Linked DNA regions of Caenorhabditis elegans. The main gene of each other region encodes a partner of the protein of the gene in region 3 in a complex. Each region holds a gene or a part of one and is shown on either strand. Other genes may lie near its edges.

Evidence for each region. Proteins that work in one complex are often made in the same cells at the same time.
Region 1: pat-3 (region 3) and pat-2 share a complex: the UniProt entries of both Caenorhabditis elegans proteins name them as parts of the integrin containing attachment complex.
Region 2: pat-3 (region 3) and unc-97 share a complex: the UniProt entries of both Caenorhabditis elegans proteins name them as parts of the integrin containing attachment complex.

The regions. Positions count from the first base shown.
Region 1 is NC_003281.10:8,815,968-8,826,299, forward strand, and holds pat-2 (Integrin alpha pat-2), read left to right. Parts: upstream 1-2,931; 5' UTR 2,932-2,934; coding exon 2,935-3,107; intron 3,108-3,154; coding exon 3,155-3,392; intron 3,393-3,438; coding exon 3,439-3,562; intron 3,563-3,879; coding exon 3,880-4,291; intron 4,292-4,354; coding exon 4,355-4,584; intron 4,585-4,833; coding exon 4,834-5,309; intron 5,310-5,365; coding exon 5,366-5,502; intron 5,503-5,594; exon of another isoform or gene 5,595-5,686; intron 5,687-5,726; coding exon 5,727-5,921; intron 5,922-6,395; coding exon 6,396-7,107; intron 7,108-7,564; coding exon 7,565-8,401; intron 8,402-8,864; coding exon 8,865-9,011; 3' UTR 9,012-9,307; downstream 9,308-10,332. Other genes in the region: F54F2.9 (DnaJ homolog subfamily C member 1), read right to left, coding at 9,388-9,496, 9,640-9,949, 10,010-10,332. UniProt on the Caenorhabditis elegans protein: Required for muscle development probably through the regulation of the actin-myosin cytoskeleton. Component of an integrin containing attachment complex, which is required for muscle maintenance.
Region 2 is NC_003284.9:5,590,284-5,596,866, forward strand, and holds unc-97 (LIM domain-containing protein unc-97), read left to right. Parts: upstream 1-2,849; 5' UTR 2,850-2,878; coding exon 2,879-3,021; intron 3,022-3,077; coding exon 3,078-3,190; intron 3,191-3,240; coding exon 3,241-3,361; intron 3,362-3,408; coding exon 3,409-3,561; intron 3,562-3,612; coding exon 3,613-3,856; intron 3,857-3,900; coding exon 3,901-4,025; intron 4,026-4,083; coding exon 4,084-4,231; 3' UTR 4,232-4,682; downstream 4,683-6,583. Other genes in the region: sulp-2 (STAS domain-containing protein), read right to left, coding at 5,653-5,828, 5,878-6,145, 6,197-6,269, 6,324-6,430, 6,489-6,583. UniProt on the Caenorhabditis elegans protein: Component of an integrin containing attachment complex, which is required for muscle development and maintenance. Probably function in adherens junction.
Region 3 is NC_003281.10:3,907,157-3,916,908, reverse strand, and holds pat-3 (Integrin beta pat-3), read left to right. Parts: upstream 1-2,759; 5' UTR 2,760-2,779; coding exon 2,780-2,977; intron 2,978-3,032; coding exon 3,033-3,237; intron 3,238-3,854; coding exon 3,855-4,258; intron 4,259-4,356; coding exon 4,357-4,793; intron 4,794-5,349; coding exon 5,350-5,688; intron 5,689-6,247; coding exon 6,248-6,735; intron 6,736-7,168; coding exon 7,169-7,455; intron 7,456-7,508; coding exon 7,509-7,580; 3' UTR 7,581-7,978; downstream 7,979-9,752. Other genes in the region: mmcm-1 (putative methylmalonyl-CoA mutase, mitochondrial), read left to right, coding at 9,250-9,659. UniProt on the Caenorhabditis elegans protein: Integrin alpha ina-1/beta pat-3 is a receptor for laminin. Integrin alpha pat-2/beta pat-3 recognizes the sequence R-G-D in its ligands. Plays a role in cell migration, morphogenesis and probably in cell-cell interactions.

The DNA of each region.
Region 1 (10,332 bases), 4.9 Mb from region 3:
GCTCCTGCCATCTCGCATCCTCCCCCGTGTGCCGTCGTCCCGTAGAGCACTTTATCCAGTCTCTCAACTTTCCGTTTTCTCTTCTTTTTATGATTTTTGATATTGATCTCATTGAATTTTTCTACAATTTTGCATATCGAGTTGTGAAATCTCAAAAAGTGGGAACTCATTATTTAAAAAAAAAACACAATAGCTACAGTAACCGTAGCTTCGTAGATTTTTTTCTCAGGGGATTAAAGCTTTTTAAAAAATTATTTAGGAGAATCTTTTTAGAGGACTGTACAATCGAACAGTTCTCAACATAAATCGACAACATAATTTGCTCAGTTCTGAGTGAAGAAATCATACGTAAAACTTGAAGTTTTAAGGTTCTTCGTAGGCCCTTATTTACGTCTATTATTCAAACCCTTCTTGACATTTTTTTCCAATAATAATAGGCTATCCCGCTGTTTTCTGAATTAAAAAGTATCAAGTAATCATCAAATGTTTTTCAAAAATCAAATAAAATATTGTGTAAAAACCAAGCTCTTATCTGATTTCAGACAAAAATTTGGCATTTCTATACTAAATTATAAATCCATCTAAAAAATTCCAACACCCAGCTTCTTCAGTAATTTTCCTGCAAAGAGTATATTGTTCATTTTCGACACTCTGAATATTCTCTGTCTCACCGAATGTCTCACATTCTTCTTTCAACAAAAAAAATTGTTCTCGCTCGAATGCATCATTGAGAATTCACTACCAACGGCGAGACCCCTATTCTTTCTTCAAAAAGTGTGCTCCATGAGCACCTGCACCACCTGCTCTTGGGATTCTTTGATTTATTATTCCTGGATTTGGAAATGAAATTTCTGGAAATTGTTTTATTGACTAAGATCGTATAATTCGCACAATTAAGTACTTTATTATAATAGTAAAATGCTTGGTTTTAACATTGATACCTTTGTGCGTCGCCGATTTGAATTCTATAAATGTTCGACTTTCCTATGATTGCAATTCTTGACAATCAAAAAGAATGATCGGTAATAAATATTTAATTGTTTTAGGTTGTAATGAAACGGTAATGTTCACCATGTATTAGTTGAAAAGCTATTATGAAGATTATTAATCTTTATAGAAGGGATTATGATTTTTTTGTTGCTTAGTTAGTCAACGTTACTTTTCACAAATGACCCATCAATTTAAGATTCTTTTTTCAAAACCTACCTCCTAATTTAACTTCCCTTAAATCTTGTCGACATCTTTTTTTTCCAAAAATTCATTTTCCTCCTAACCACCCAATTAATTCATCCTCCCCCCGTTCCCTCAATTTATCACTTGTTCCTCTCTATTCAAAACATGACCTTTTTGTCGGAGAGGGAACAGTCACCAGTCAACCATATCTTGGATTCTACTGACAATTACTTCATGCCCACATCCCAATACTCTCTATTACATGAACTTTTCACCAATATATAAAATGTTGTTCGTATACTGATGGGCTTCAAGTAGGCGTGATTTTTAAAACACATACTACAAATATTGGAGAAAGTGCCGTATTTGTTCTATTAGTATTGGTGCAATACGTTTTTGACCACAATATTTATGTACTTGAATTAACTAGATTTCACTGTGAAAACTGAAACTTTAAAAACTTTAAAATCTGTGGCAACTTATTGTCGAATTTTGGCAGGAAGTTTCCCTGATATTCCAAGTAGGTTCAAAAATTGAATTCAATTATCAAATTTTGGTCTGGTCAGATTGAACGTCTACTATTATAATAATTTTGCAAGTTTTTCAAAATATTAGAAAATCTCTTTGGTGTTTCAAAAATAGTAACTGCATATCTACTTGATTCCAAACTAATTGCTTCTCGTGTCCCCAAATAAGTGGTGCCTCTTCCTCCGCCCCCTTCCATCCTCCCAATTTCATCCTCAATTCATGCTTCCATCAATGTCTACGTCTCTTCGTCTCTCACACTCTCTCACCATTAGACATATGTTTGATAACTATCCGGAAACTGAAGAAACTATGTGTCCCTTCCTCCCTTCTCTATTTCAAACGACTCTTGACTCATCGTATTTTTCGGAAATTCATGGGATAACTATGAGTCTCCAGATGCCAGTTTTGTTTCGGAATTTCCTTTTTGTACGTTTTTCACAAACTTCGAATTTCTGATTTTTAACTCGTAGTCCAGCCAATATTCTGAATATTTTGAGGGTTCTCCGGTAATTTTAAAGATTTTCGAATGAGTACAACTCAAAAGCTAGAGGTTCCAGCAAACAACTTTCAACAGTCAAAACATTTTGAAATAGTTCAATTGAGCATTTGAGAAAATATTGTTGTTGGCTCTCGCTCAATACACAACAAATATTGAGATTTATGCAAAATTCGAATTGCTCCTTACTTTGCTTCTTCATCAATCTTGCTCCACGTGTCACGGGTCATTTTGTTCCCCCGTTAATTTCCGTTCGCTCACTTCTCCTGTTCGTTCAATTCATTTCTTGATATGTTCATGACTCAATGTGAGTGTGTCAAATGCTCGTAGAGCTCCCTTCTCAATTATAAATGACTTGTCGTCTTCGGAGGGTCAGTTCTTTGTTTCGCAATCGCGTGTGCTCTGTTCAATTCCATTTTTCCTTCCTTCCGGTTTTTGGAAAAGACACCGATTAGGCTTCATTGATCCACATGTTAACTGAGAATTTGAAATTATCTCAGTGAAATTGGTCGCTACTTTGAATTTAATTCATTTAGACATGAAAAACGTTCCAAAATTAAAATTCAAGCAAAGTTCTTTATTTTCCCTTTCAAAAATATTTCTTGGAACTTTTGAATTTGAGATTTTGAAATTTTTTTTCTATTCAATCAACTTCTAAAATCGTTTCATCTTCCGTATACTCGTTGCAAACTTCTTTCTGATTGTTTTCAAAAAACCGAATTCCAAATTTCCAGTAGATGCGAGAGGGTAGTTTTCCGCGAAGGATCGGCTTGCTTCTAGGCTTACTGGGCCTTTTAGCCGGAGTTGCCACCTTCAACATCGACACAAAAAATGTAGTGGTTCATCACATGGCTGGTAACTACTTTGGATACTCACTCGATTTTTACCATGAGCAGAAGGGAATGCCTGTGTAAGTTATTGAATTAACTGAACAGATTTTACATTCAAAAATTTCAGCCTCGTTGTCGGTGCCCCTGAAGCTGAAAGCAATAACCCAAACCTGGCTGGAATCCGAAGACCTGGAGCAGTTTATGCTTGCTCCGTGAACCGGGCAACATGCCGAGAAGTCCACGTGGATAAAATGAAGGGAAACTTGAAGAAACTCAATGGATCACATCTTGTTCCAATTGAAGAAAAATCACATCAATTCTTTGGTGCAACTGTTCGATCAAATGATAAGCATGATAAAATTGTGGTAGGTTTATTCTGCGGAGTTTGAAAATTAAAAATTAAATTTCCAGGTGTGTGCTCCAAAATACACATATTTCTACTCAAAATTCGAAGTTATTGAGCCAGTTGGAACCTGTTTCTATGCTGAAAATGGATTTGATAATGCGGAGGAGTTTTCATCGTGCAAACAAGAACGTATGTTTTGGGGATACTTAATTGGTACTGCAGGGGTACTGTAGTTTTGGAAAAAGGAGTTCGAGAAAAGAAAGTTCTGGGAAGTTCTAGAAACTTCTGAAAATTTTGAGGAATTGCAGGAATATTTTAATAGTTTGAAAAGTTTCTGCAACCCTCAAGACACTGTTAAAAACGTCTTAAAATTTTGAGATTTTTTTGGAAAATTCTAGAAACTTCTAGAGGCTCCTGAAAAAAATCTGAAAATTGTTGAACCTTTTGGAATAGTTCAGAGTTCGAACAATTGGTAACTTTATAAAAAATTAGATGAAAAATTACAGCTGCTCGCCACGGTCGTCATCGTCTTGGATACGGTCAGTGCGGATTCTCGGCTGCAGTTCCAGGAAAGAAGAATCAAAATCGTGTTTTTATTGGAGCCCCCGGTGTGTGGTATTGGCAAGGAGCAATGTTCTCACAGAACATCAAAAATCAGACAGACCGCCCGAATACCGAGTACGGTAGCAAGGAATACGATCACGATATGATGGGATATTCTACAGCAACTGGAGATTTTGATGGAGATGGTATTGATGATATTGTTGCCGGAGTTCCACGTGGAAACGATTTGCACGGAAAATTGGTGTTATACACGTCGAAACTGAAGATGATGATCAATTTGACTGATGAGGTGTCAACTCAACATGGACAATATTGTGGAGGATCTGTTGCAGTTGCTGATGTAAATAAAGATGGGTAAGTGAGATTCACAAACACATAAAATTACAATTCTCTAAATATTCTCTGTATTAATTTCAGACGCGACGACATTATCATGGGCTGCCCATTCTACACAGATTACGGTAGCGTGAAAGACGCAAAAACACAAGAAAGAAAACCACAATACGATGTCGGAAAGGTCATTGTGATGCTTCAAACTGCTCCAGGAGTCTTTGGAAAACAGATTGCAGTTGTTGGAGATGATCAGTGGGGACGATTTGGACACGCAGTCGCAGCAGCTGGAGACTTGAATTTGGATGGTTATAATGGTAGGGATTTTGCTACTAAAAATGAACGAATTTGAATTTCTCACAGAAATTATTTTACGCGGAAATTCAAATTTAGTTTTCGTATTTTCACTTTTCTTTTTCTTAATTTAACAATTTCTTTAGACATAAAAAATCCTAGATTATCGGAAATTTGTGCGGCATTTTGAACTTTCAATCTCATTTGAACCGCTATGGAAATTTATTGCATTTTTTGTTGGAAATTTTAAATTACAAAATAGTGTTTTTCAGATGTAATTGTTGGTGCACCATATGCTGGAAAAAACAAACAAGGAGCTGTTTATGTGATCCACGGATCCAAAGATGGTGTTCGCGAACTACCAACTCAGAAGATCGAAGGAGCCAATATTGGTCATGGAAATATCAAATCATTTGGCTTCTCCCTTACTGGAAACGAAGATGTTGATGGAAATGGAATGCCAGACATTGCAGTTGGAGCATGGAAATCTGGAAATGCAGCTGTTTTACTCACAAAACCAGTTGTCACTGTCACGGGACAAACTGAACCAGAGAGTGCATTGATCAGTGTAGAAGATAAGAATTGCGATGTTGATGGAAAATTGGGAAAACAGGCATGCAAACATATTAATACATGTTTCAAATATGAAGGAAAAGGAGATACACCAAATGATTTGGAATTTGATCTTCGATTCAATCTTGATGATCATTCTCCTGAACCAAGAGCTTATTTCTTGCAAAAAGATGTGGTAGGTCACTTTTTTAAAACTAGATAAAAATTTTTAACACAATAATAATATTTCAGAAATCTGACAGAAGCATTAAAGTTGCACAAGGATCTAAAACAAGAGACCATCCATCTTCAATCGAACAACGTGTTCGTCTTGAGAAGGGACGACAAAAGTGTTTCAGACATCGATTCTTTGCTTCTTCCACAATGAAGTGAGTTTTCAGAGAAAATATTTTGATTTTCTTTCAAAGTTTTTCAACTCAAAATGACCACAACTTTTTAAATTTTTTTATCAGAAAAAATTGAGAAAATGTTTGCTCTGCTGTGAAAAAAAGTTCAAGGCTAATTTTTGAATGTAAAATAGTTCGTATGCTTTGCAAACCTTCAAATTAGAAAATAAAATGTTTTCTAAAAATCAAAAATAAAATAATTTCAGAGACAAGCTCTCCCCAATTCATTGGTCCGTCAACTACACATATGTTGAATCAAAAACCGGAAAACTTCGTGGTGATAAGCTTGAACCAGCAATTGACACAACTGTACCACTTTCATTCCAAAATAAGATTAATATTGCAAATAATTGTGGAAAAGATGATCTTTGTGTTCCTGATTTGAAGGTTACCGCTGTTGCGTAAGTTTTTTTAATTTTCAAAATGATCGATAAAAAGTGTTGAAAAAATACATTAAATATGCCATTTTTTCATTGAATATAAAAGAAAGGGAAACATTGAAAATCCTCATTACAGTAAGTTTGAAAAATTATTGAAAAAATGGGTTTGTCTCGAAATGTTTTAATCATTACTCTAATTTTAAAATTTTCAAAAAAATATAAGGAAATGAGCGAGAAAAATTGAATATAACACAAAATACAATGTAACCTAACTCGACAATTTTCAAAACATTTTTTATAATGAGACAAGTTCACAGCCATTTTTAAAATGTTTGCTTCAGGATTTTCCTGTCAAAATAATTCCACGAAGATTGTATGTTTCTTTTCTTCACGGAATCGGCGAAATTTTCAGTGAAATCATATCATTAAAATAATTATTCCTAAACCTATAAACCAAATGCCAGCAATTAAATTCTTTTAAACATATTTTTTCAGTGATCGTGAGAAATTCCTTTTGGGAACTCAAGACAATACAATGCTTATCAATGTAACAGTTCAAAATGGAGGAGAAGATTCATATGAGACAAAACTTTATTTCGATGTTCCACAAGGATTCGAATACGGTGGAATTGAAAGTGTTGGTGGAGATGGAAGCAAGTCTGCTCCAGCTTGTTCTCCAACTTCCGATGAACCAGATTCGGATGGAAAATGGACTTTTGCATGTGATCTCGGCAATCCACTTCCAGCTAACAAAGTAGTTAGTAGTGTTGTAAGAGTGACTGCTTCTTCTGATAAACCTCCACTTGCTCCAATCAGTATTAATGCTCATGTGAACAGTAGTAATGATGAAGAAGCTCATACTGTTGCTGATAATAAAGTCACATTCACTATTCCAGTTGATTTTAAGAATCAATTGAGTTTGAATGGTAGATCAAATCCCGAACAAGTCGATTTCTCAATGACGAACAAAACACGTGTAGATGCTTTCGATGACAATGAAATTGGTCCAGTTGTTTCACATCTTTATCAAATCAGTAATCGTGGTCCATCTGAGGTTGACTCAGCTACTTTGGATATCTTCTGGCCATCATTTTCCACTGAAGGAGGTCATCTTCTGTACATTATCACAGAACCAGTTGTTAATCCACCAAATAAAGGAAGATGTCGGGTCAAACAACTGCAAAATGTTAATCCATTGAATTTGAGGGTACGTTTGAATAATTTTTAAATTTCTAGACATTACTTTAAAGGTACACGCTGTTTTTCTGAGTGGGTCTTGCCACGATCTCATAGTCGTTGCAAATCCCCAATTTCTGTAGACACTGAATTTTATAACTCTGTACATTTAAAATTGCAGTGAAATACGGAAGGAACTATTTTGTTTTAGAAATAGAAGTAAGAAACTTTATCATTTTTAGGATAAAATTCAAATTTCTTGGGAAATTTTGAAGAATTGTTTTCGTCAGTTTCTGAAATGTTTAGAATCGGCGAGTTAAAAAAAAATATTGGAAACAATCGAATATGCTGAAATATCACAAAAAAAATTGATTTTCCGGTTCGGGCTGACAAACTTCACTTTTTTCAATTCAGAATCCTGAACATCTTATTTTATAAATGTTCACAAAAAATTACTGTCGCACATTAAAAACGAATTAAAATTTCAGATAACAAATGAGCATGTTCCAACTGAACCACCAGTTGCCAAGACACCAAATGAATATTCAAGAGAAGAAGATGATGAATCATATGAAGATGAAACAACAACTCAATCCCAATCAACACGTCATCAATCTACACAACATCAAACTCATCATCAATCTGGTCCAGTACATGTATACGAAAAAGACGAGGAGAAGATTCGTCAGAATACTGGAAATTGGCAATATGTTGAGGATAAAAAGAAGAAGGGAGATTATGAATATATTCCAGACGATCAGGAATATGATGGAGATGATTTTGAAGAGGAAGATGATGAAGATTTTGATAGAGCTGGAAGTAAGAGAGTTAAAAGAAATCCAACACCAAAGAAGAAGAAGAAGGGAGGAGAACACCGTGGTGAACCAAGAAGTGATAAGGCTAGATTCTCTGATCTTCGTGAAGCTGTTAAACTTTCGAAGGAAGCTGGAGGAGTTGTTGATTATAAGGGACCACTATCAAGAGCATCTGTTGATTGTAATTCATTGAGATGTACACATATTGAATGTGATATTTATGATCTTAAAGAAGACGAGTTTGTACTTGTGGAAATCTTCTCTAGATTATACACAAACACATTGGTTGATGAGAAAAATCCTGGAGGAGACATTTCATCGTTGGCTCTTGCTCGTGTCACATCTACTAAATACAATCTTCCACATAAGCCAACATTGATAACAGCAGTATCTACAAATATGAATGCAATTGCTTCTGAAGAAGGAAGAGATCTTCCTTGGTGGCTTTATCTTTTGGCTATTCTTATTGGACTTGCCATTTTGATTCTTCTTATTTTACTGCTCTGGAGGGTGAGTTTCAAATTTAATTTTCAAAAATACGATTTATTACATAACAACATAGATATTGGCTTGCAAGTTAAATTAAAGTTCTTTCGCCAACTTTCATGCTTACTTGTGACGCAGCAAAAATTATATCTTAATTTCCAATTTTGTGAAGCGGTTTCTCAAAGCCTCATTGATTTATTCGGATGGGCCTCGCCGCGAGAAAAGTTTATGGTTCAAACTCTGCCATTTTCGAAAGGTAAAAAATGATTGTCACAAAGATTAAGAAAAACTGAATTTAAAAGAAGTTGCCTACGACATTAAAGCTGTGCTCACACGCTTTCGAAAATTTCACAGCAACGTCCACGGCGAGCTTACGTCGGGGGTACTGTAGAATATAGGTAGATCAGAGCGACTACAGTATACAACCAATTTCGAAACAAATTTACAGTTTCCCTCAGAAAATAAATAATAATAATCTAATTTTCAGTGTGGTTTCTTCAAACGTAATCGTCCACCAACTGAGCATGCAGAACTCCGTGCCGACCGTCAACCAAATGCTCAATACGCTGATAGTCAATCCCGTTATACATCACAAGATCAGTACAATCAGGGACGTCACGGACAAATGCTATAATATTTTCCATTTTTTGTTCCTTATTCTTTACTATTCACATCTGCGGGTGTCTTTTTAAAATTATCATTTTGGTCCCAATTTAGTCCTCTTGTCGTGCCTTGCCCCCCAATCTTACTTTCATGTTCGATCGTTTTTCGGAATCTCCGCTCAATTTGGTGCTTTATATGTTCATATTATGTTTCTTTGTTTTCCAATTAATTACCAATACATTGACATGTTTCTAGTCGATATTTTTGATGTTTTTTCTTTTATTATCATCAATTTATTAATAAAAATTTAATAAATAAATAAATATTTAAAACGCGTCTAAAACAATAAATTTTGGAATTTCATCAAACCCGACCAACAAAAAAACGGAATAAATATTATGACAAAACTAGGTATCATTGGTTTTCTTTTTTCGAATCATCTCAGCCAATTGCTTGAATCTGACCATCACTTGTTTCTTCGTTTTGCTTCCAATTTCTTCGGAGATTCTTTCCCACCTGAAATTTAATATTTAAAACATTCCTCTGGATATTATATTATGGGGACCCAGAAATTTTACCGTCAATACCTAACGAAACCCAACGCTTGGAGGATGAGCGTTCTCAATTTCAAAATACCCATTTCTAGTTTCCAAGCTAACCTTTCATCAGTTCCCTTTGGATATTTCTGCAATGCGGTTTCAAAAGCCTTCTGCTCAGCTTGACTCCAATCATCTTCTGATTTCTCTTCAACTGGTACTGATTGTTGAATAGTTGTCATCAACAATTTCGTATAATCCTCTTGCTTCATCTGTTTCATTTTTCCAGCCATTGCAATAACGTCTTCTGCACTTCTATTCAAAACTCGACCCATTTGTTCCCAACGATTCGGTGTTCCAGCCGGGTATTTTTCAGTGCTCAGTCGAACCAGACTAGCTAATTCATCAGGCGTCCATGTTGCTCCAGATTGTTCTGAAATTAAAAGATCATTGAGTAGAGTTCAGAAACCTTTTTTCTGATAAATTAACTTACTCTGTGCTACAACTTCATTTTCTGCTGCATACTTTTTCTCCATCTCAGGATCATTTGTGGAAACTGCTTTCATACCTTGAGCCACTTCAAATTTAAACTCTAGTTGCTGGGGTGCCGCTGCTGCTCTTTGTTGCCTTCTCTGTTGAGCCAACTCCTCTTCTGTTGGTTCTTCAGGTTCAACTTCTTTAGGTGTCATAGCATCTTTAGCAGTCAATGCCAAGTTTTTGAAGAGGGTTACTGTACCTCTAGCAAGAATAATTGGAAGAAGTTCTGAATATTTTGGAAGATACTCTTCAAGTGCTTGTTTCATCAATTTTTCTGCT
Region 2 (6,583 bases), on a different chromosome or scaffold from region 3:
CTTGCATCTTCTTCTCCGCTTTCCGCTTCTTTCTGCACATCACAGTGAGTTTGAGCACATTTTTTTCAAAAAAAGGAACTTATTTGGAAAATTTCTCCAGTCAGTTTAAAATACTAAATTTAGTTTCAAAAATAAGTTCCTATTGTTATTACGTTATTCAATTCAATTACGTTTCCAATTGTAAATTTTTCAGCACTTCTGATCCGATAGGCAAGCCGATCAAGGAACGGTATAACTTTAACGAAATGGACCGTAATCTTTCCGCACTGGTCAAACCACTTTGGGCAGGAAATGAAAAAGAAGATCGTGCTGAAAAAGACGATAGTACATCATCTTGATCTGCTCCGGCTCCCCTCCCTGTCTGTGTGATTCTTTTTGTTTCTTTCAATTTTATCCTATTATTCCAATTCAACGCTGATGCATTACTATTGTTGTCATATTTCATTTCTGTCATTTTTTAATCAAATGTGCTGAACATTAAAAATTATCTGATCTCTTGAATCCCTTGTCTTGTTTTATGAATAAAAGTAATATATCAAAAAAAAAAGTCGAATGGAACTGCTGAAAGTGCTCCTTTTAGTGCGCATGATATTTTTCACACATATTTTTTTTGAAACGGTTTTGATCCGTGTCCAGTATCCATATTTGATTTTTTTAAAAGAAATTTTAAAAAGTTTGTGTAGACAATTCAATGTTTAGTTTTCCCTTTCAAGCTAGTTTTCACTAACAGGAAGATGCTATAAAACTATGAAACGAAAAACTTCAAGAAAAGGAAATTGAAAAATTGTGATCTACACAAATATTTTTCTAACATTTTCAAATGTGGATGATGAACACCAGACATTCGTGGCAACTGTAGACCAACTATTTTATAAAATGAGCCAGTTTGGCATGTGCTCACAAACTTTTTTATGGAAATTCAGAATATGGAAAACTACTTACTTTCTCTGAAAATAAGATTTTTTTAGTTGGGAAAATAGGACATTTTTGAAAGATTTTTCATTTGATGTTTTAACTTTCGGATTAATTGTGAGCACTTTTTAAATTGTTCCAACTGAAATTAAAAATATTTTTAGACAAGCTAAAGATTTTTCGATATCACTGAGTTTCAATTAAAAAATTTTGAGAACATGCCACACTGGTTCATTTTGTAGAAACTCACTTTGAAACTTATAGATTTGTGTAATAAAATACTCAGTTTAGAATTTATACACTGCTCCGAAAAAAGTCGGTCCAAAAACCTCTGTTATCGGTTTACGATCTTCTAGAAAAAGCGGTGGTATTTCTCAACACTGCGCACAGCTGTTTGGCAGGTGGAGGCATTTCTACTGGCAGAGGACCTCATTCTATAATGTCATCATTTCAAAGTTAGTCATTGTTTTCAAGCTACAATTTCTGGATTTTTGTCATCCTGATATATGATACTAGCTCATGATCAAGGCCAGTCGTAAGAATATAAAAACACAAACGAAGGTCAGATACTGAACATTTATCTGCCAACATTTGCGGGGTTCGTACTTTTCAACCATGTCTTTTGATTTCTCATATCTAAACTGATGATCCTTTCTTATTCTCACAACTGTCTATAAACATGTGTTAGAAAAAGCTTGTTCCTGCCTGTTCCGAGTATCAACGAGCAGCAATACTTGGCTATTAATGTGACCCTACGCACGCAACCCGATTGTATGCGTCTCTTCGAATCGCGCACTCTTCCCGGAGTCGTTACGTCTGCGGCCGTAGTCTGTGACCCCCCGCTTGGCTGTCGGCCAACCCGCCGCGCGCGCATTGCCTCTCGCTTTCTTCCACTCTTTTTAGTTGTACATTCTGCGCACTTTCTTTTTGCCCAGTAAATGCCCATATCACTGTGTGAGGAAAGTTGATTTTCAACAACTATTATCATTTTTAAGGTGTTGTTTATAACTATTACTATGTTTAAATATAATTCAAAACTTTATAGTTTAGCCGTATAGAAGTTGTATTGAATTTTTGGTTTCATTTTTACAACTAGTTTTATTTTTAAATGCAAACACCACAAAAGAAGCATTGTTGCTTTCCTCCGTTGCATCTCAAAACATCTGGTGTAATACATGTATCACATTTTGAAGCGTGAAATGTGCCGCTTCACTGAATTTTGTTATGTAGAGTAGTACATAGAAAGTCAAAAAAAAATCGAAATAACTAGTTCGAATTTTTTCCCATTTAAACACACGATATCCCAACCGATGTTTCTGAAGAATCTTTTTTCTGTTCCCAATCAATACTGATCATCAACACATCGGATACACGTCTCCCTCTGTGAGTTAGTCAGGGAAGCTGAGGCATCCTGTTGAATCTGTTGTGCAGCAGCACTCACACACATACTTTTGTTGTTCACTTATATCTCTATCTCTTGGTTCGTTTTCATTCTTTACACAAAATGCAATGGCAAAAGCTTCCACGCCACCGCCTCCGAGTTCTTCTTACACATATGTCAACCCGTCGCATCCTATACCTTTGGCACATTTGCCTCTTCCTTGAGGATTTCTTCTTTTCTACTGTTTCACAGCCCCCTCGTATAATACCTCCAGTGTTTTTACGATTCTTAGAATATGGAAATTTCTGTGTTTATGCAAAAATTTACTTTGCATATAACAAAATGTAGATATGAAATTCTGACTTTTTGTGCTCTTTTCGATTAACCAACATACCTAACCTATACACACTATATGCTTTCTCCGGCTTTCCCTTGTTTGTACATATTTGTCTTCATATTACTCGCTCGCTTTCTTTTCTTCTTTCCTACCCCCACCTTTTTCCTTACAAACCCATGGTCGTTAAACCATCCTGTGTGCATAGTGGCCAACTTTCAGTGGTTCAATAATAGATGGTGTGTGGCGGAATGGATTCCGACCACAACCATATCAACGGGGATCTCGCCCATGGCTTCGAGAACATGGTGTGCGTCCGTTGTAATGATGGTTTTTCGATGCAAGATCAGATGGTGAACTCTTCCGGGCAAGTATGGCATTCGGAGTGTTTTGTGTAAGTTTTTATAAGTTAGAATTAAGAGAACTCAAAAATTGCAAAAAAATTTTTAGATGTGCTCAATGCTTTGAGCCATTCCCAGACGGCATCTACTTTGAGTATGAAGGACGAAAGTACTGCGAGCATGACTTCCATGTTCTGTTCTCACCATGTTGTGGAAAATGCAGTAAGTATCTTTGAGAAGACACGCAGAGCCATAAATGTTTTATATTCTAGACGAGTTCATCGTTGGACGAGTGATTAAAGCAATGAATGCCAGCTGGCATCCGGGATGTTTCTGTTGTGAGATTTGCAATAAACAGTTGGCCGATGTCGGATTTTTACGGAACGCTGGACGGTAAGTTGGAGAGCGTAAACGAAGCTCGAAAGAATTTCAATTTTCAGAGCTCTCTGTCGCGAATGTAACGAACGGGAAAAGGCAGCAGGTCATGGACGATATGTGTGCCACAAATGCCACGCAATGATTGATGATGGACAACACATCAAATTCCGTGGAGATTCATTCCATCCTTATCACTTTAAGTGCAAACGTTGCAAGTAAGAATTTATCTTGTTTTACAGTATGAGTTGAATTTAAAAAATTTTCAGCAATGAATTAACGACAGCTTCTCGTGAAGTAAACGGAGAGCTCTACTGTCTCAGATGCCACGATACCATGGGTATCCCAATTTGTGGAGCATGTCACAGGCCGATTGAAGAGCGTGTCATCGCGGCACTCGGCAAGCACTGGCACGTGGAGCACTTTGTCTGTTCCGTCTGTGAGAAGCCATTCTTGGGACATCGTCACTACGAGAGAAAGGGACTTCCATATTGCGAACAGCACTTCCACAAGGTACTTGAAATATGAACAAGCAAACATTAATAAGTTTGTTGCAGTTATTCGGAAATCTTTGTTTCAAATGCGGAGATCCATGTTGCGGGGAAGTATTCCAAGCTCTTCAGAAAACGTGGTGTGTCAAATGTTTCTCCTGCAGTTTTTGTGATAAGAAACTTGATCAGAAGTGAGTGCAAAACTATTCATATGAACTTGATGAAAACAAATTAATGTATGCATTGCAGAACGAAATTCTATGAATTCGATATGAAACCAACATGCAAACGATGTTACGATCGGTTCCCCACAGAATTGAAAAAGCGCATCTCAGAAAGCTTAAAGGACCGCGACGTTGAAAATCAAAGAAGATCGATGAGTCCTGGACCAAAATAATAAAAAAGAAAGAAATAAAGGAGTCCCCGTAATTCATCAATTTCCATTAAAGAAGTAATACTTTCCAAATGCCATTGCTCATTTCTCTTTCCCATTGTTTTTAATACCTTGGTGCTAAAAAAAAACATCGTGAAAATTGTTATCAATCCGTTTTGTCTTTTAAATGCCTTATATTTCAAAACTATTTTTCGGTCACACAAAAATGTCATTGTACTCATTTCTAGCTCCATAATTGTCCTTCCCCTTCCCTTTCCCAGCTACTTTTTGATTCAGAAGCCTTCTGAAAACAATCATAACTTTCGACCAAATTTTTTGTGTTCCTATCCGCAAAAACTTTGCATCTTTTCTCGGGTGTCATTATTGCATAACTTGATTTCTGAATTTTTGTACTATTTTTTTGTTCAGAAAAAAAATATTGACTGTATTGAAACAAAATCGTATTGTAATATTGAATCCTTTTTTTCGGCATCAACAATCAATTTGTAATCAGTGATCAACAGGAAGGTGAGTCCATAGCGCCCGGAGAGATATTTTTGGTTCAACTTGAAACGTGTTAAGTGAGAATTATACTTTCCAGTGTCAAAATGTTTGTGAAATTTCTAAAAATACGAATGAGCCAGTAGAAATGATCGTATTGCACTTGAAATTCTCTTGGGAATTTATTTGTTGAAGCTTCAAAATGTGAAAGAAAAATTGGGCTATTCCAACAAAAAACGACTTTCATCGTTTTTTTGCTCAGCAAACTCTGTTTGATCATTTTACATAAAGATGAAATAGAGTCGATGATTTTTTTTTAAATTCAAAATGACAAAAAAAATTCAGTTTCCAAGAAGTTAATTTCGTTAAAAAATAAATTTTCAATTATCGATTATTTGAAGAATTTCCAACAAAATTCTTCTTTTTTATCAATTTTTTTTTTGGTTTTTTTTTGTGGAAAAGTCTAAAATTTTGTAAGATTCTGTTATTACTCAAAAATCACAAAAAAGGACAAAAAACTGACACAACTGTAAAAAACAAACATATCAAAATTAGGTAATTTAGTTACGCGGGTATGGGAAAATAATTCAATACTTTCTATTTTTTTTTGTTGCAAAATTTAACAATTAATTAAAAAATTCAGAAAAATTCAATGATTTTTTAAACTGTTGTGCTTATTATAGTGCAACTTTTTTCCAGTCATTGAGACCAAAGAATCCATAGATGTTATTCCATCTTTTTCCAAATTTTATTTATTGACAAATATCTAATTAGTTTAAAAATCTAAAATCAAACCTCAATTTACGGTAACTTTATTGAAAACTTGAAGCATGAGCAAGTTTAACAAAAATTTCAAATATTGACCCAATAATTACACATATTATGACCCATATGATTAACAAGTTGATCAATTGATAAAACTGATAAATAATGATCTATGTATTCTAAGGCACAATCTTTTCTGGCGGCATACTTTTCTCGCAATCAAAAAACATTTTATGATTTTTAATTAATTCGTGAGCAGAATCCAGCGCATCTTGAATGGAGGGATACATTTGATTTCTTCCAATATTCCCTTCTCCAATCAGGCCAGCATTTCCATATTGTCGTCGGAGTGATGCTGAAATATCCCAGCTAAGGTTATAATTGTTTAAAAATTTTAAACTCACACTTCAGATTTGCAAACAACAGGAGTATACGAATTTGTCGTAATTCTTCATTAATTTGCTTCACCGCAGCAATCCCCATAGAATCCGTATAAATCCAAGTGTGGCAGTCAAGAATGATTGCACTCCACTCAATATCCTCTTGGGAATCGCAACTCGCGCTTCTCTTTTTTGTGGTGGCTGATGTCGAATCGCGAACGTTATCGAGAAACTTCTCAACGTTTGCGAAAATCAGTGGTGCATCAAATCTAATGATTCGGAACGATGTTTCCTTGAAAAATAAGTTTTTGGAAAAAAGTTGTCAGAGGGAAATTAAATTTACCTTTGCCAAGCTATAGTGATTCATTGGTCTAAAATCATTTGGTCGGATTTGCCCAAGAAGTTTAATCGTAGGTCTGAAAAATGTCGAAAAGCTATGTCAATTTTGCGTGTTAAATCTACAAACTCACTGCTGAGATTGTATTGCAATTGTAAAAATTGCCGTGAAAATTCCAGCAGCTACCCCTTGCGCAATATCGGAACTTAGAGTCACAACAGCAGTAATGATCCAAATCCACTGAAATTATTTTGGTTTAAAAATTATTTTGGGTTATTTTAAGTGATTAAAAACCTACGAAGTCATGTTTGGAACACCTCCAAAGTCCTGGTAGTACTGTGCACTTTCTCAACATAGATTCTAGGACAACAATTACAATTGCTGACAGAATAC
Region 3 (9,752 bases):
TTGAGCAGCAAAATATTTACGAACTGCAAAAAGTAATCGGTATTCAGTAACTCCGCCCACTTGCAAGCTGCGCGCGCAGTGTTTGCAAAGTCGCCGCACACACTTTAGGTTTTCGCGGGGGTTTTCAATTCACATTATTTTTCTTTATTTCGCAAAATGTTTCGTTTCATTTGTTTTTCTTTATGTTTTCCATGTTTCCAATCACTTTAATAATTCTTCTTCAAGTGCATATCGTTTGACAGCAAGATATAGCCCGACTAATAGGAAAATTAGCGGGGAAAAGTGAAAAAGAGGTGAAAGTTATGATATATTAGCTTGACAGCTTCAAACGCAGGTTTTGGTGGAGAATTCTGCATTGATAGAATGTTTCTTGAAAGAAAAGCTTCTTTAGCTCGTATTTCTCTTGAGGTTTAGCTAAATTAGCTTCTGGTGTTTCTTTATTCGAAAATAACTTCTATTTCTGTTAAAACAATTGGAAAAACGCTTAAAAAAACGTCGACAAACTATAAAATTTGAGCGTTTTTCTATTTTTCTAAATTTTATCATTTTATTTTAATGAAAAATATTATGAGAACATGCTGCACTGTCTTTATTTTGTAGTTCAGCTCTTTTCTCATTCAAGAATTCCCCAAAAAACTACATTTCATCCTCTTTTTGATGGTGTCGGGCCATCAAAAGTTGCTCTGCCTGAGTGATGATATATCCCCAGAGAGAATATTCCTCTTTTTCGGCATCTTTCATAATTTTGAATGCTGAATATCTCCACATGCCTACGAAAAACGGTATTTTTTCGGGAGAAAACTTTGTTTTAATTTGTTCTTCCGCCGCCCATCATCACCCACAATAATCATCGATCTCCATATATCCTGACTGCTGCTGTCCACACTCCGTTTAACTGCTTCTTTTCTCTGTAGATTCCCCTCCTGCTAACAAAAGTACCAACAGTCGACCCCTCTTCTCATTGTGTCTGTCTCTCCACAGATTCAATGCTCTTTTATTCCGGGCTAGTGCTATGATTAAACACACAAGGGCAATACGAACACAGAGAGACATAGAGACAGAGGATACTAGTATATGTATGCACCAGATGTCTTACTACTTGTCATCCCTTGGTTCCCTTCTTCGTTTTGTTCCTCCCAATTTCAATTTCAATTCAGTTTGGATTTTGAATTAGTTCCTATCAGATTGTTATCGATTTGATGGATTGGAGACGGGAGACGGTGGGCGTGGGAAATTTAGAACAAGAATGACTCAGACGCTATTATTTTCTACTCTTTTCGTTATTTAAGTGTTGAAATCGTCGTTTTTCACAATGTCTAAATTGTTATATCGTTGTATGATAACTTTTGACAGCCATTTTAAAATTAATTATACTTTGACATTTTAATAATTACTAGGTGCATTCATAAGCTGTAAGAGCAAGAATTATAGTTATCTTCAAAGTTTCACCTAAACTAGTTTACCAGGAACAGTTTTGATGTTCAGCAATGAGTTTAAACATTTTTGGAATAGCGGGAAGCTTAAAAATACCCAAAATAGTCAGAAATTTCATTAAACCACAAAAAAAAGAAGGAAAATGTCGATCTAGAATGTGAAATCCTTTTTTTTAGTTTCAGCTAATATCCCTGTTTGAATGTCTTCCAAAATGAGAATCCACTCCCACTTTTGAACCAAACTAACGATATTGAAACTATCGAAAAATCCCTTTCCTCACCACATCAAACCCCCTCCTGTGAATTTCGCAATTTCATCGGTCTCTGATGTCTCTAGAAGCTCCCGATTCTAACGCCTTTTCACCCATTTCCCTTTGGTTTTCTTCCCTTCGTCTTCTTTGTTTCTTCGACGATACAAGCAGGTGTAACTCTCGTTACACTTTGGTCCGAGCCCCTCTCCCGGCCAACATAGAGCACTCTATCGCCTACACTATCTCTTCGAAGAGCATTCTGCTGCTGGGTTGATGGCAGTTGTGAAGAGAGAGAAGGCGAGAGATGCTCCTGTCGAAGCACTTGGCAGATCCGCCCACGTTCCGAAAAGAGGTGATCGGTGGACGTAGTTGATACTTTTATCGATTTTTAAGGTTTGAAAAGTTATGTGCATAACTTCCAAAAATGTTAAACGGATGAAGTTTTATCCCGAAATCTCAAATTTCATACATTACACATGTGTGCCTGCAGATACCGAATTAAGTTATTGTTTCCCGAAAATACTGTACCCGGTCTCGACACGACCGATTTTTCTCAAATCCGAGTTGTCTGAACTCCAATATTCCTCGCTGCAAGTTTTTTTATATTTTCCCCCGAAAACTATGTAATTTTCTAACAAAAAGAACATGACTCCGTTATACTTCCCGCATTCACTCCGTTTGTTGAGTAAACAATAAATTTTCCTACTATGGTGACTAATATTTCAAGAAGTCATTTTCTTTCAAAATTTCCTATATATTTTTTATTGTATAACTTTTATATTATAACTTTTTCTTCACTGAAGAAATTATGAATTGGGGATGTGCCATTTTTAGTATGATATTCTTGATTTTTATATCAAAATATTTTTTTCAAAAAATCTAACTTTTTTGGAGAGCTTTAAAAATTTCAAAAGTTGTATGAAAGTTGCCACCTGTTGAAAGCAGTTTGATATCAGGTTTCTGTAGAGTTTCATCATCAATTTTTCTTATAAATACACCATTTTTTAATCTCACCGTTTTTTTTTCTAATTACTCCGTTCTCAATGTACTAAAAGCCAATTAATTAATTTTTCAGTTGAACCTACCCGGCATCAAATGCCACCTTCAACATCATTGCTGCTCCTCGCAGCACTTCTTCCATTCGCTTTACCAGCAAGCGATTGGAAGACTGGAGAAGTCACTGGAAAAGTCGTCGAAAAATCAGAATTCCCATGCTACAGTCTGTCACGTGACAATTACACATGCTCAGCGTGCATTCAATATCATGAATCTTGCGCGTGGTGTGGAGCACCGGTATGTTAAATGCTTGAGACCATGAATTTATTTTATTTAATAAAAAAAATTCCAGATGTTCGACGAGAAGAAGCCATATGCCCGTTGTGATAGCCGTGCCAAGCTCATGGAACATGGATGTCCAAACAGTTATATCGAGGATCCGGCCACAAAATTGGATATCACTGAAGACAGTAAACTCTCCGATCAAGGACAAGTTGAATCTGAGGAAGAAGCCGTTCAGATCAAACCACAGGAGATGTACGTCGAAATTCGGCCCAGTAAGTTTTTTATATGGTTTTCAAAGATAATTCGTTTAAAAACTCGATGAAAATAATCAATAAAATACAAAAAATTTTTTGGGGTTTCAGCAAAAAAAACGAAGATTTCAGGGTAATTTCGTAGTCTTAAATTTTCAGGAAAAATTTGCACTAATTAAAGAAATGTTTTTCATTGATTTTTCACAACAAAAACCGCTGAAAATCACATTTGAAAATTGTCTCAAAAACACTGAAAAAAAAATCGTACTGCATTTTTTTTGCGGAAAGTTAAAATATTTCCGGTTTTGGTTATTTTCAGCCTCTTTTTTATTTAATTTTTATCTTAAAAAGCTCCTGTAATATACAATTAAGTGAAGTAATTTATTATTATTATCATAATTCGTTGATTTACACATTTTAGGCTCGTTTGACTATTTTTGGATTTTAAGAGATTTTTGGGCTTAAAATATGCCTAAATCAACGAATTAATGATAAACTTCTAAAATTTGCAATTCAGGGTGATTATAAAATAAAAATTAATTAGTGACCGCTGCGACTCGAAAACTTGTAAAATCACAAGATTTTTCTCTAAATCCAGTTCTTCAATATCAACAACAATCTAAATGTTTTTTTTTCAGAATCCCGTGTTCGTTTCAATGTGACCTACCGTCAAGCCGTTGATTATCCAGTTGACTTGTACTATTTGATGGATCTCTCATATTCCATGAAGGATGACAAACAGAAACTGTCCGAACTCGGAGACTTGCTCGCCGAACGAATGAGAACTGTCACAAAGAATTTCCGATTAGGATTCGGTTCATTCATTGACAAGAAACTTATGCCATTCATCGATCCACGAATCGAAAAACAATTATCTCCGTGTCCAACACCATGTGCAGAACCATATGGATTCAAGCATCAAATGTCATTGACGACGAACACGGCAAAGTTCAAGGCTGAAGTTGATAAAGCTGAAATTTCTGGAAATTTGGATGCTCCGGAAGGAGGTTTCGATGCTGTTGTTCAGGCGTTGGCTTGTAATGTAAGTGGTTATTTGATTTAAAAGAAAAATTCAAAAAGAATCAAATCAACATTTTTGAGATATCGGGAAAGCTTAAAATCTAAAAATCAATATTTCAGAAAACCATTGGGTGGCGTGAACGTGCTCGTAAAATGATCGTTTTCTCAACTGACGCTGGATTCCATTTCGCTGGAGACGGAAGATTGGCAGGTGTCGTCGAACCAAATGATGGAACATGTCATTTAGATAGAGAAGGATATTATACTGAAACACTTAATCAAGATTATCCATCAATTGCACTTCTTCATCAAATGATCAAGGATCGTAAGGCAAATGTCATTTTTGCTGTTACAAAGAACAATCAGGATTTGTATACACAATTGTCGAATGCACTCCCAGATGTTTCATCGTCGGTTGGAGTTTTGGCTAATGATTCAAGAAATATTGTCGATTTGATTGAGAAGGAATATTTGAAAATTAGTGAAAAGATCATTATGGTTGATAATGCAAATGCTTCAGAAGGACTCAAGCTCACTTACAGATCTATGTGTTTGGAGTGAGTTTTTTGAATAATATTCAATTTAAATGAAAGTTGGGAACTTTTGAAAATTAAAAAAAAAACAAAAAAACGCTGTAGAAACAGATTGAGAAAGACCTCGATCATGTAGATTTACGCAGGCTTCGTGTACTCCACGAGAAGAAGCGTTTTTGGCTGAAATTCTGATTTTGGATTATTTTGTTACTTTTTTTGTATTTAACATTCAAAATTGGTAATATAATTTTTATTTATGGTATTTCAGGTGAAAATCTGTTAATTCGGTGTTGAAACCTTCAGATTCATCCGCTTTTACATAAAACAATATAAATAATTGTAAAATATCTACAATATTGCCCTCGCCGTGCAATTTTCAATATTCATTTTTCTCGAAATTAAAAAAAAAGTAATTTGAATCGAAAAATTGAGCTCTCTTAAATTCTCACGTTTCTAGACGAAAAAGTCTTCACATAAAATTGTTTTAAACTAAAAAAAAGCACAATTTTGGAGCGAAACTATTAAAATTATTACAATTTTATTCTAAAATTTGACCCTATAAATAACCGTAATTTTTCAGCGGAACCACACTGAAAGATACCAATGTTTGTGAGGGAATTCGTGTTGGAGATGAAGTTCAATTCGAAGTAACCCTTGAAAATACTCATTGTATCGATAAACGTGATTTTGTTCTCCGTATCGGACCATCTGGATTGGATGAGACACTTATCGTTAATGTTAAAGTTTTATGCGATTGTGATTGTGAACGTCAAGACAGAATTGTGACGAATTCGGCTGATTGTAACGGAGGAGATATGGTTTGTGGAGTTTGTCGATGCAAAGGAGGAAATGTTGGAAAATATTGTGAATGTAATAGACCTGGAATGAGTACTGCTGCGCTCAATGAAAAATGCAAAAGGTATGGTTTTTTTTAAAATTTAACATGAAAATTATGTGAGAAATAATTTTAAAAAATATATTGGCCGAGCAGTATTAAAAAAATTTTAATCGAAAAAAAAGCTATAAAACTTCTATGGCTGGAATACTAATCGAAAATTGATTGGAATAAAAATTAAGATCACAAAATTTTGAAATTCCTTGAAAATTTCCAAATAAATTGATTTTCTGTAGTTTTTTCTTTTTAAAAATTTCAACTGAATTTTCTCGGTTTTTTGGATAAAATTTGACGCCTTCGATGGAATCACAAGAAAAAACGAGAAAATCCATTTAAATTTGCCGGAAAAACTCCGAAAAAAAGGTCGTTGCCTAATCAGAAGTTTAAACTTTTGCTCGAAAATTTAGAAAATAATTTTTGCTTTCTTACATTTTTTAAAAAAATTCAGAGAAAATCAAAAAAATTGGAAAAAAAGTTAGAAAATTAACAAAAATTAAATTGTTTATCAAAAATGCTAAAAAATTTAAGCTATTTTTGTTTTCCGTTTTTTCTTTTTTAAAAATTCTAATGATCTAATTTCCAGAACTAACGAATCAGCAATCTGTGAGGGTCGTGGTGTGTGTAACTGTGGACGTTGTGAATGTAATCCACGTGCCAATCCAGAAGAACAAATCTCTGGAGAATTCTGTGAATGCGACAACTTCAATTGCCCACGACACGATCGTAAAATCTGTGCAGAACACGGTGAATGCAACTGTGGAAAGTGTATTTGTGCACCTGGATGGACTGGAAGAGCCTGTGAATGCCCAATTTCAACTGATTCATGCCTCTCTGCAAATGGAAAAATCTGTAATGGAAAGGGTGAATGTATTTGTGGAAGATGTCGATGCTTCGATTCGCCCGACGGAAATCGATATTCGGGAGCGAAATGCGAAATTTGTCCGACGTGTCCGACGAAATGTGTGGAATACAAGAATTGTGTAATGTGCCAGCAATGGCAGACAGGGCCACTTAATGAGACCGCCTGTGATCAGTGTGAATTCAAAGTTATTCCTGTTGAGGAATTACCCAGTAAGTTAAAAAAATATACTGATAAAGCAGAAAATCAATTTTTTAAATGTCAGAAACTTTTGAAAATTTTATTTCTGAAAAAAAAACACGTTTGATCGGAAAATTTAAAGAAAAAAAGATATTAAAATATTTTTTCGAAATATTGGAAAACTAAAACTTTTGATTTATCGAAAAATAGCTTGGAATTTTGCCCATTTTTCTTCTTTTTTTAAATGGAAATTTGATTTGATTTGTTAAAATATTACACTTTTTGTTAATTTTCTAAACGTTTAATCTTGATTTTCAGGAAAATAGAAACATTTTTTCTGAAAATAATGGATTTTGCCTTAAAATGTGTATAATACTTAAAACGTAAATATTGCAATTTTGCTAATTCTCTAAACCTTTTTTCTCGATTAAAAAACTTGAAATTTTGAAATTTTAAAATTTCCAGATCTCAACGAAACTACACCCTGCCAATTTGTGGATCCAGCTGATGATTGTACATTCTATTATCTCTACTATTACGATGAGGCCACAGATAATGCAACAGTCTGGGTCAGAAAACATAAAGATTGTCCTCCACCTGTCCCTGTGCTCGCAATTGTGCTCGGAGTCATTGCGGGTATCGTAATCCTCGGAATTCTTCTCTTGTTGCTCTGGAAATTGCTCACAGTACTTCATGATAGATCCGAATACGCTACTTTCAATAACGAAAGGCTTATGGCCAAATGGGATACGGTAAGTGACACGGAACAAAAAACATATAAATTTATCAAATTATCATTTTTCAGAACGAGAACCCAATCTACAAACAGGCCACGACAACATTTAAAAATCCAGTATACGCTGGAAAAGCCAACTAAATAGTTTTTATCCTTATATTTTAATAATTTTCCCAAATTTTCTAATATGAAAGCTCAATTTCTCCATCCAAACAACTCGAAACGAGTATTTAGCGATAAATTGTCACATTCTTCTTTGTTTTATTCAAAAAATCTCCATTTTTTTGTTTTTTTTTCCTTCATCAATTGTTCATCACACTGCTTTTACCCCATTCTAAATACGGATTTTTTTCTTCCTTCTCTATATATTGACTTGCTTTATATTCATCTTTCATTGCCTTTTGTCCCTCTTAACACCGACCAACAACTCACACACTTCTTGTACTATTTCCAATTTTCAATGGTGCTTTTATTTTTGAACTATCTTGTTCGAATTTTTCATGTAATATTAATTTTATATGAAAAAAATCTGAAAAATTAATTTTTTGTCTTTTTAATTTTTGGTTGAAACTGATATTAGCCATAACTATCTGAGAAGACATGTTAAATAATATTTTTAAATTATAAAAAGGAAAAAAAATTGCGCGTAAAGTGAGGAGCTTGGTGTTTGCATCCAAGTGCACAGAAAGCATTCAACTTGACGACAATTTTTTATTTCTTTTAATTTCTTTAAATTTTTTCGTTTAAAATTGGAATTCTTTTTATCCTATTTACCGTGTGGATTTTCAATTTTTCAGTTTAGAAGATTCCCAAAAGTTCGAAAAGTTTCAAGTATTTGACCCGAAGTGGTTTGACAACTGTTATTAAGCCTGATTAATTTATTTTTTGCATATCAACCGATTTAAAATTTAGTATTTACCACTTAAAAACGCTAGAGACTACAATAATCAAATATCTGACCCTCCTTCAAAGAATAAACAAGTTTTTTTTGACGTGAATTGTAGGATTGAAAAAAGAAAGATAGAGAAGTGACTAGACTTTTCTTAAATACGCACAAAAATGAGAGAGCGCAGAGATAAATGCTACTTTCAGTTTTGCACGCAGACACAGAGTCAGTTGTTGTTCCCCGAGTGTCCTCTGCGGCTTTTTATGCTAAATCAATGTTTCTTTTCGATAATTTTCAGTTTTACTTAAATAATTCGAAAGTTCTCTAATATTATTGTTTAAAATTTCAATTAAAAAACCGCCCATCTTCATTTTTGCGCTTGTTTACGATCTGTCAAGAGATTGACGGCGACTACAAGGTCTTTATTGTTTTATTTTTTGCTTTCTAAATTAGAATTTAAAAAAATAATAAGTTTTTCGAAGTAGTTTCTAGATTAGGGCGTATAATTGTTGAAAAAAAAAACACAATTCATAATCTATTTAATTTCAGTTTCACTGGATTTTTAAAAGCTGAAAGTCAAAACTGAAGGATTTTTCAAATTAACAAATCATTTTTTTTTCATTCTTCTAGCTCAATACGTGCCAAACGATTAGATCTTTTCAAATTTCACATTTTCTTTCTCTGGCCTATCTGTTCCACAGCGATTTCGTTGTTTTTGACAAAACTCGACAGCAGTGATCGGTTTTTTGGTCACATCGAAGGACTTGTGACACAAAAATTAGTTTTTATTTTTGTTAGTTTTAGTTTCGAAAACATAAATCAATTTTGCAAAACGTTCTCTCATGATTGTCTTCTTGAGTTTTTATATTATTTCCTTCGATAATATCAATTTCCAGATCATCACTGCCTTTCCACAAAGGCAAGATGTATCTTCAACTACTGAAACCCACACTTCTCCGATGCTCAACCCGTCCATCTTCTTCCGGAGCTTACACCCGCTCCCCAATCGATCAAAAATGGGCTGCCATGGCAAAAAAGGCGATGAAAGGCCGTGAAGCGGACACTTTGACATGGAATACCCCTGAAGGAATTCCAATCAAGCCACTTTATTTGAGATCTGATAGAGATTGTGATGCTCAAAGATCTGTTGAACTTCCCGGTCAATTCCCATTCACTAGAGGACCATATCCAACAATGTATACTCAACGGCCATGGACTATCAGACAATACGCTGGATTTTCGACTGTTGAAGAGTCGAATAAGTTCTATAAGGAGAATATTAAAGCAGGGCAGCAAGGACTTTCAGTTGCATTTGATTTGGCCACTCATAGAGGGTTTGTTTAAAAAAATCGATATGAAATACTCAAAATGGTCCCAAAAGTAGCCTAATCCAGCTAAATTCTCTAATTTTGTCAACTTTTCCTTGT